Linked DNA regions of Lonchura striata. The protein of the gene in region 2 purifies or fractionates together with the protein of the main gene of each other region. This does not show direct contact. Links are inferred from orthologs where the notes say so. Each region holds a gene or a part of one and is shown on either strand. Other genes may lie near its edges.

What was found. Proteins that work in one complex are often made in the same cells at the same time.
Region 1: the proteins of USP33 (region 2) and ROBO1 purify together in Homo sapiens (affinity purification with western blotting; 5 studies listed by BioGRID and IntAct, with this or other methods). This does not show direct contact. The link is inferred for Lonchura striata from reciprocal best matches to the Homo sapiens genes USP33 and ROBO1.

Annotation. Positions count from the first base shown.
Region 1 is NC_134604.1:10,877,273-10,881,022, forward strand, and holds the start of ROBO1 (roundabout homolog 1), read right to left. Parts: upstream 2,601-3,750; 5' UTR 2,161-2,600; coding exon 2,052-2,160; intron 1-2,051. UniProt on the Homo sapiens protein: Receptor for SLIT1 and SLIT2 that mediates cellular responses to molecular guidance cues in cellular migration, including axonal navigation at the ventral midline of the neural tube and projection of axons to different regions during neuronal development.
Region 2 is NC_134611.1:15,816,545-15,820,294, forward strand, and holds the start of USP33 (ubiquitin carboxyl-terminal hydrolase 33), read right to left. Parts: upstream 2,225-3,750; 5' UTR 2,062-2,224; intron 1-2,061. Other genes in the region: MIGA1 (mitoguardin 1), read left to right, coding at 3,384-3,506. UniProt on the Homo sapiens protein: Deubiquitinating enzyme involved in various processes such as centrosome duplication, cellular migration and beta-2 adrenergic receptor/ADRB2 recycling.

The DNA of each region.
Region 1 (3,750 bases), on a different chromosome or scaffold from region 2:
CTACTAGAAAAATTTTGACATCATGGATAGCAAAGCCAAATAGTACACAAGAAATGGCATCCCTGTAAAATCTTCTTGTTCTTGGTGAGAGTGCTTCTAAAATCTAAATAAAAGAAACGTTAAAGTCTGCTCTAAACATCTCTTAATTTCAAGGAGAGCTGATTAAGATCCATAACTTTTAACACATTCAACAACTGATCCCTCTAAGCAATCAAGTAATATAATATTAAGATGCTATAAAATGAATTTACAGCTTATTTTTCCTTTAACCAAATATAGCAATCTGCTAATGTGCTGGCTTGAGAGCACCCTGTCCTGAGAGAAGAAAGCAAGTAATATGAATCCATAAGGTCTAATAGCTAATACAGGTGACATTAAATAAACATTGTAGATGCAAAACAATTTTCAAACAGGTGGTAGTCTTAAACTTCTGAATATTTGTATGATTTACTTATCATGGCTAAATGACATCCCAAGATGATTAACTTTATTAATGTTTTCGTGAGACATTAATGCCTATATCACCATCTATTTCAATTCTTCACAGGAAAAAAAGCAGACTGAATACTCAGAATCAGAAATTTTTAAATACCTGCAAGTCAATTAACCAAAAATGAATGTACAGTAGTTTTACTCTTGAATGTGGCTTTCTTCATAACAGATATACAGATACTTATTTTAGAAGGTATTTTTACTGAGAAAGAAACATACTGTGAAAAAATTTCGTTCAGCATATGTCAGTTGTGCCTCAGTTTCCACAATGAGCAAAATAAAAGGCTCTTTTAGTCATAACAAGTTCATATGTTCAAATATTTATAAGCTGTGGGTTGCTATTTTTGTGCATCCCTTACGCACACATTTATTCCCTGCTATAGTTTGGGCAGTGTGAGCTTTAGATGTAAAGTACCTGTGAGTGGGCAGGGCAGTCCTCACTTCCACTGAGCCCATCACCTCCTTCCTTAATGCTACTGATATGGGCACTGGGAGAAGCAGCAAATTTATTGATATTAGGTTCATGCTTTAGGGAAAAAAAAAGTATTGCTCAAGCTGCAGATGAGCTTCCAGATAAGAGGACTGACAAAGTAACACCTATTCCAAGAATAACAACAGCCAACCCTCCAAGTTCTGGTTATTTTAGGGATTTTCATCACATATATTTTCCAAGCAACAATATCATATTTAGCTGAATTCAACAAAAGCCCTTTATTCCATTTTGAATATTCTTTCTCTCTTTTAGTATTGTAAGTGTTTCTAAAAAGGAAAAAAAAAAAAAGCAAAAAACCACAACAAAACCTCAGCAAATATTTACAGGCATAATGCTAATATTATGCTGCCCATCATGGGCATTCTTGTTTATAAATAGCTGGACAGGAAAAAGGAGCAATGTCAGCGAGAATTGAGTTGCCCTTTAAATGGAAATAATCATCTGGTTATTTCAGTCAAGCAGCTGTGTATGCAGTAGGAAGTCTCACTCACAAATATTATGATGACTCATCTACTTTCCTTTTCTAATAGTAAATGCTCTTTTCTCTTTATAAGTGCAGCACTGCTAAACCCTTCACAAGCTGCAATTCTACCTTATATCCCCTTACCTAAATCTGCAGATTTTAAGACACAGCTATGCATGTATAGCTATAAAATTCACTATTATAATCACTGGGGTTACAAGGTTCTTTACGCAAACTGCAGACCTGTGAGATTTACTGCCTTTATTAAAGTTAACATCTGAAATAGCGTGCAAAATGCTAAGAATATAAAGAAAAAAGGTGCAGCCTGGACTTCTCCCAAGCCCTGGGAAGAGAGGAGTTAATCAGCACAGGCAGTCCGGAGAGCTTGCACACAGGACTGTACTGCAGATGTGTGGAGCTCACGGAAGGTGTGGCCCGTGCCTTCCATATGCATATTTAAATACTTAAATTACATGGCCTTAAGGCTGCTATTAGAGAACAACCTCACAGAGAGGAAGAATTACACAGTGAAATGAGGCCTAACACATTTCTTCAAACAGAGAGCTGAGAAGAAGAAGAGAAGGAAAAGCCCGGGTTACTCACGATTCTTTTCACCTCTCCACCTTGACCCCGCTTTTATTCTAGGTGCGACGTCCACGGCAGCAGTTATGTCTATTAGCCCAAGCAGCAGCAGCAGTGACAGCACAGCCATGCCAGGTAACAAAAAAAAAATAAATCACCTCTACCTGGAGTACTGCTAGAGATGAATTGGAGAAGACTTTCCTTAGTAATGAACAATTGGAGCTGACAGCACTTACTCAGCAGAGGCAGAGGGAGATGTAAAATATTATTCCTGCTAGAAATGTTTATTAAAAATTTCCATTGCATCGCTTATTTCCTTGATCCAGGGAAAGCAAAAACCAGAAGAGTTGTAAAGGCTTCCCCTAACTAGGAGCCTCTGGCACTCAGACGCAGGAGGAGATGCAGTGGCAGATTTCTGTGGTCCCTCAGAAGCCACCGGCTCCTCACCTGCCTCTGCCACCTCTCAGCCCTTCCCAGTGTTTATCAACATTCCCCACAGCACCCTAGCAGGGGACACAGCCAGGCTGAAAAAGGAGTTTTTTCTCCCTCGCTTCCATATTTCACTGCAGTTTCACAGAGCTGATGACACGGAACATTTTAATGTTGACACTCAAATCTCATTACGTTTATCAATGGGCAGAAAAAACACAGTTTTTTAAGCTTTTTCCCCCTTACCCACAGAGGGGGGGAAAGGGCAAAAAATAACAAACATATCCAAGATGAAAGATAAATGCTTAAAAAAGAAACTTTTTTTTTTTTTTAAAAAAAGCTATGCAGTAACTCTGCCTCTTATTCAGCACAAGTATCTTCTATTTCTAGGGAAAATAACACAAACAATACCACCTCCCACACAGGTTTCTGTCAGCAGATGCTGCATAAATGGAGCAGTACATCTGAGAAACTGTGTAGAGGATCTGTGTTACCTAACAAACCTTCCCCCTGCAGCCCAGCAGCCTCGGGGCACCCAGTGCAAGCAGATTCCAGTGCTCCCAGCAGAGCTGCTGGAAGGAATTGAACCCCAGATTCATCAGTACTGGGGAGCCAGATCATGAGCATCCCCAGGGTCATTGAAACAGTCTCAAGGAAGAGCTGGAGCACAGCTACCCCTGCCTACCCCTTTCACCACAATTATGAAATCATTCCACATGAGTTGTGAAGACCCAGAAAAGCTTTATGGTGAGAGCTGGAAATCACTATAATAAGACCAGAGGGCTTTTCATTAGTAGTGACAGAGGTCTTTAGTCTGCACAAAGTCTACATTTATATCCAGTAAAAGTAACTGCAAAATTTCTAGTCCTTTAGCACCATAAGCATCAGCTTTGAGAATACTTAAAATTGTTACTTATATGACAGTAAAACTTACTTTCTTCACAAAACAGCTATGAAATAGTATTCTCCAAGCTGATCTTCTGCCTCACACATTGCATGCTGCTTGTCGTGTATGGATGTAACCAAGCAGCAGAATTGAGAGCCTTTTTTTAAAATAAAGTACTGGAGTAATTTCTAGATACAACTTCAATTACCAAGAAAGAGACAAAGTAATTTATTTCCATCTTAATAATGCATCTATTAATTTATAATGTTCACAACCACCGCTCTTTATGAAATTTGAGCTCAAAATTATTAGTGCAAGTGAAATACTGCACAAGAACCAGTTAGAAGGTGACCAGCTGAAGACACTAATTTCTAAACCTTCTCAAGTCAGTGATAGGAACTTTCC
Region 2 (3,750 bases):
ACTTATCAACACAATTTTGCTTTAAGCATGCACAGACTCACACTACAAAGAAAAAATTCTCTTCAAGTCCAGTCTTGGAAGGTTTTTTTGTGTTCCTGACTTGTCTTTTCACCCTCCAAGAAAACCAAAATTGAACCATCAGAGAAATGTGGACCATGATTCAATGCATCATGACCATCAACCTATCTATTATTCAGTAGAATTCCACAGCATCACAGACTTGTGTGATGCCTAGCATGGAAAACCTATCACACCCACAGAAAACTCCCAGCAAACACTATTAAATTCAACTGATCTCAAAAATTACCTTTGGGTCATGTAAGGAACCCACTATTTCCTAAAGAAACTAAACAGAATTTGAATGCTTTCAAATTTTTTTTGCATTAATTATTTCATCTGCCTAGTTATAGTAGTTAACATTTCAACAGATATTCAAATAAACAATTGTATATTTTATGTATTCCACTATTCCATATTCTAAATATGGAGTCATTTTAGCAGATCATTTTACAGAACTCAGTAAGGGAATGCTGACAGAAGATTTTAAGAATAACAGAATTATTCTGAAGACATCAATTACATGAAGCAGCCATTGTGTCTTCATTACAGGCTTTTATTATTTTGTCAGTACAGCTTTGAATAACAGCATCTCAAACCAGTAATCTGTAAGTTCAGGCTTCTTCGTTGCACTCACATTTATTTTACCAGTGATACAGTGGAACAATTTCATTTAACATTTATTTATATCTTCTAGCAACAAAGCAAGAGTGACACAGGGTGCAACTTTGTACCTGAACACTTAATTACTCAGAATACTAAGGAGGTCTGGAAGTTCAGTAATTACTAACCATATTACCATTCTCCACACTTCAGAAAAAACCCACCAGCATTCACTCAAAGCTATAAAAGCCTACTGAAGTGATAGCCTTAGGCATATTCAGATTGTTAAGATACATATTTTTAATCACTTTTCTAAATATCAATATATGTTGTTTTAATTAAACTTTACAGAAATTCCTTCAATTACTTTTGTACATGAATGATGTTTTTACCAAACTTAGGCTTTTTAGTGTGTCAAATTAAGGTTCATCTTTCCTATTTCTTGACCTAGATTCCTTTATATTCCATTAATCAATAAGTAGTTTTGAATTTTATCTCCCATCCATCTGTATTTTTACCCTTTTTAATCTATCCACAATAAACAAATACATCCCATTTCTTGAAAAAATGACACCACCAATCCCAGCTCTGGTAGAGAACTTACTTAATATCTATTTAGCATAAAACCTAGTATTTTCCCACTAGATGACAAAAGTGTGCTCAGTAACCTGGTCAAAGGTACCTGGTCTTTCTCCTCAGGCACCAAGAGCTACCCACTCAAGCAAGACACAAACTGATAAGTCACTTCCATTACATTCTTTTTCTGCCCTTAAGTACTGTTCCCACGGAGAAAAGACATTTAAAAATAACCTGGAGTTGAGGGTATATCCTCTTACAAGGTTAGACAGTTTTCATTTTATATTGGCTTTCAGGGCACACAGGCCACTCTTTCGTTTCCTTCTTCCACCACGCTAAATCCTAACTATGAAACCCATTAGCTAACCTCTATATTTCTAAGAGGATTTTCCCAACTCGGGCTTTGCCTAAGCGCAGGAGAAGCCTACAGTGATTTTCCACTAGGTGATCCCCGGGACTTTTCCCCCGGGCTGTTGCAGCCGATGATCCACCGGCGCGGGGAGCTCGGGCAGCGAGCAGGGCCATTTATCGGGACACTGCCGCGTTTGGGCACCGCGCGGTACCCACGGCACCGCTGCCGCACAGCCGCAACTTCAGCCGGGACCGCGGAGCTCTGCGGCCGCTCCCGGCCCCGCCGCCCCGGACCGGCACCGCCGAGCTCCGGCCCCCGCCCCGCGCTGCGGGACCGCGGCGGCTCCCGAGGCCGCCGCCATCCGCACCGCCGCCCTGGGCTGCGGGACCAGCCAGACACACGGCCCGCCGCGCTCCCGGCCCCCGCCACACCGAACCCTCCGACGCTGCCCAAGCGGGCCCTTCCTCTCTTACCGGAGCAGCCGGGAAGATGCGCCGCGCACGGATCCCGGAGCTCAGCCGGGCTGCGACCAGCCCTGCGTCTCGCCCTTGCCTGAGGGGACAGCGGCGCTGCAGCGGGGCTGCCGTGGCGGAGCCGGGCGCGCCCGGGCCGCGGCTCTCGCCGGTGCCGCCCCGCACACGCGCGGCCGGGCGGGCGCGGCTGCCGCGACGCCGCCGCGGGACGCTCCCCGCACAAAGATGGCGGCGCCGAGAGCCTCAGCCGCTCATGGGAGCGCTGCCCCGCACAAAGATGGCGGCGCCAGGCGCGCACCCCGCCCCTGCCCGGCCGCACGCAGCGGAGCTGCCCGCAGCAAACATGGCGGGCGCGGAGTCACAACGCCGCCGGTCTCCCTCACGTGGTAGCGGCTCCTCCCGGCCGACGGCGGCCGCTTCTCCCTCTGCCGGAAGCGGATCCCGCCGGTCTCCGGGCAGCGCCGGGGCCGGAGCAGAGCGAGCTGCCCGCGCCCCGGTGCTCGGCGGGCAGGTGGGTAACTGGACGCGGCGGTTGTAGCGACCCAGCCCGGGCCCGGGGAGCGGCGCGCCCGTTTTGACCCGGGCGGCTGCAGGGAAGGGGCTGAGGGGCGCGCGGGGCGCCCGGTTGTGCCCGCTGCCCTCGATCCTGCCCGCTCGCCATGCCGGGGCTGCCCGGGCTGGAGAGGGCTCGGCCGGGCTGGGCGGAGGTGGCTTCTGCCCCGAGGCCTCCATCACCTCCCAGTGCCCCGGTTGCGGTCCCGGAGTCGCGGTTCGGAGGCTTCGCCCGGTGTTCAGCATCGGGGAGTGAGAGCGGTGCGCCTGCATCGGGGAGATTACGTCAGGCTGTAGGGGTTGTTTCTCGCGGAGTGTCTGCAAAATAAACGAAGCGCTGAATGAGATAAACTTTTTTTGGCTGCTCGCCAATCTTTTAATTCTTGCAGCAGTGGTGGTTTCAGAGGCAGGGTTGTTGCCGTGCGTGACTTAGAGGCGATAGTACGGGAGCGGCCGGTAGTCAAAGCAGACCGAGCCCTCCTTAGTCCTGGTGGTTGTTCAGCTGCACATCTGCACACAGCAGTCTGACACTCCGGGCCTAAGCTGAACCAGCAGATTTGCTGTCTCCACTTTAAGTCTTGCCTCTACTCAAGACCATCAATCAAACAGGTCATGTACCAGTGATTGAAGAGATTCGAGCTTGAAGAAGAAAAATGTTCTGGGCTTCTGTTGCATAGTTATGCATCCTTTGCATCCTCATAGTGTGTATCCCTCTTTTGACAGAGTCTTCCAGAGACCATCTGTGATTGTTTTCAAGATAGTTTTGCTTAATGAGGTATGGGAGAGAAGGAGCCATGTCAGAAGAAGCTGTTACTGAGACACGATTTTCTCTGAAGACAGTAGCTCTACGGGTGTTCAATCTTCCCCTTTCCTGGTATTATTCTCTTAACCAGGTAATAAATACATTATCTAAATATTATTTATATTATTTATTTGTTTAATCTTCTCCTTTCCTGGTATTATTCTTCTAACCTGGTAATAAATACATTATCTAAATATTACTTGTAATATTTATTAATATTATAACTTTTGTTATACATTTAAAAGTTAATTGCAGTGTTGTATGTGCTGTTGTAACTGAATTAAATTTGTACAGAATACATTGGGGTTTAGTTTGTTTATAACACTGCAGTGAAA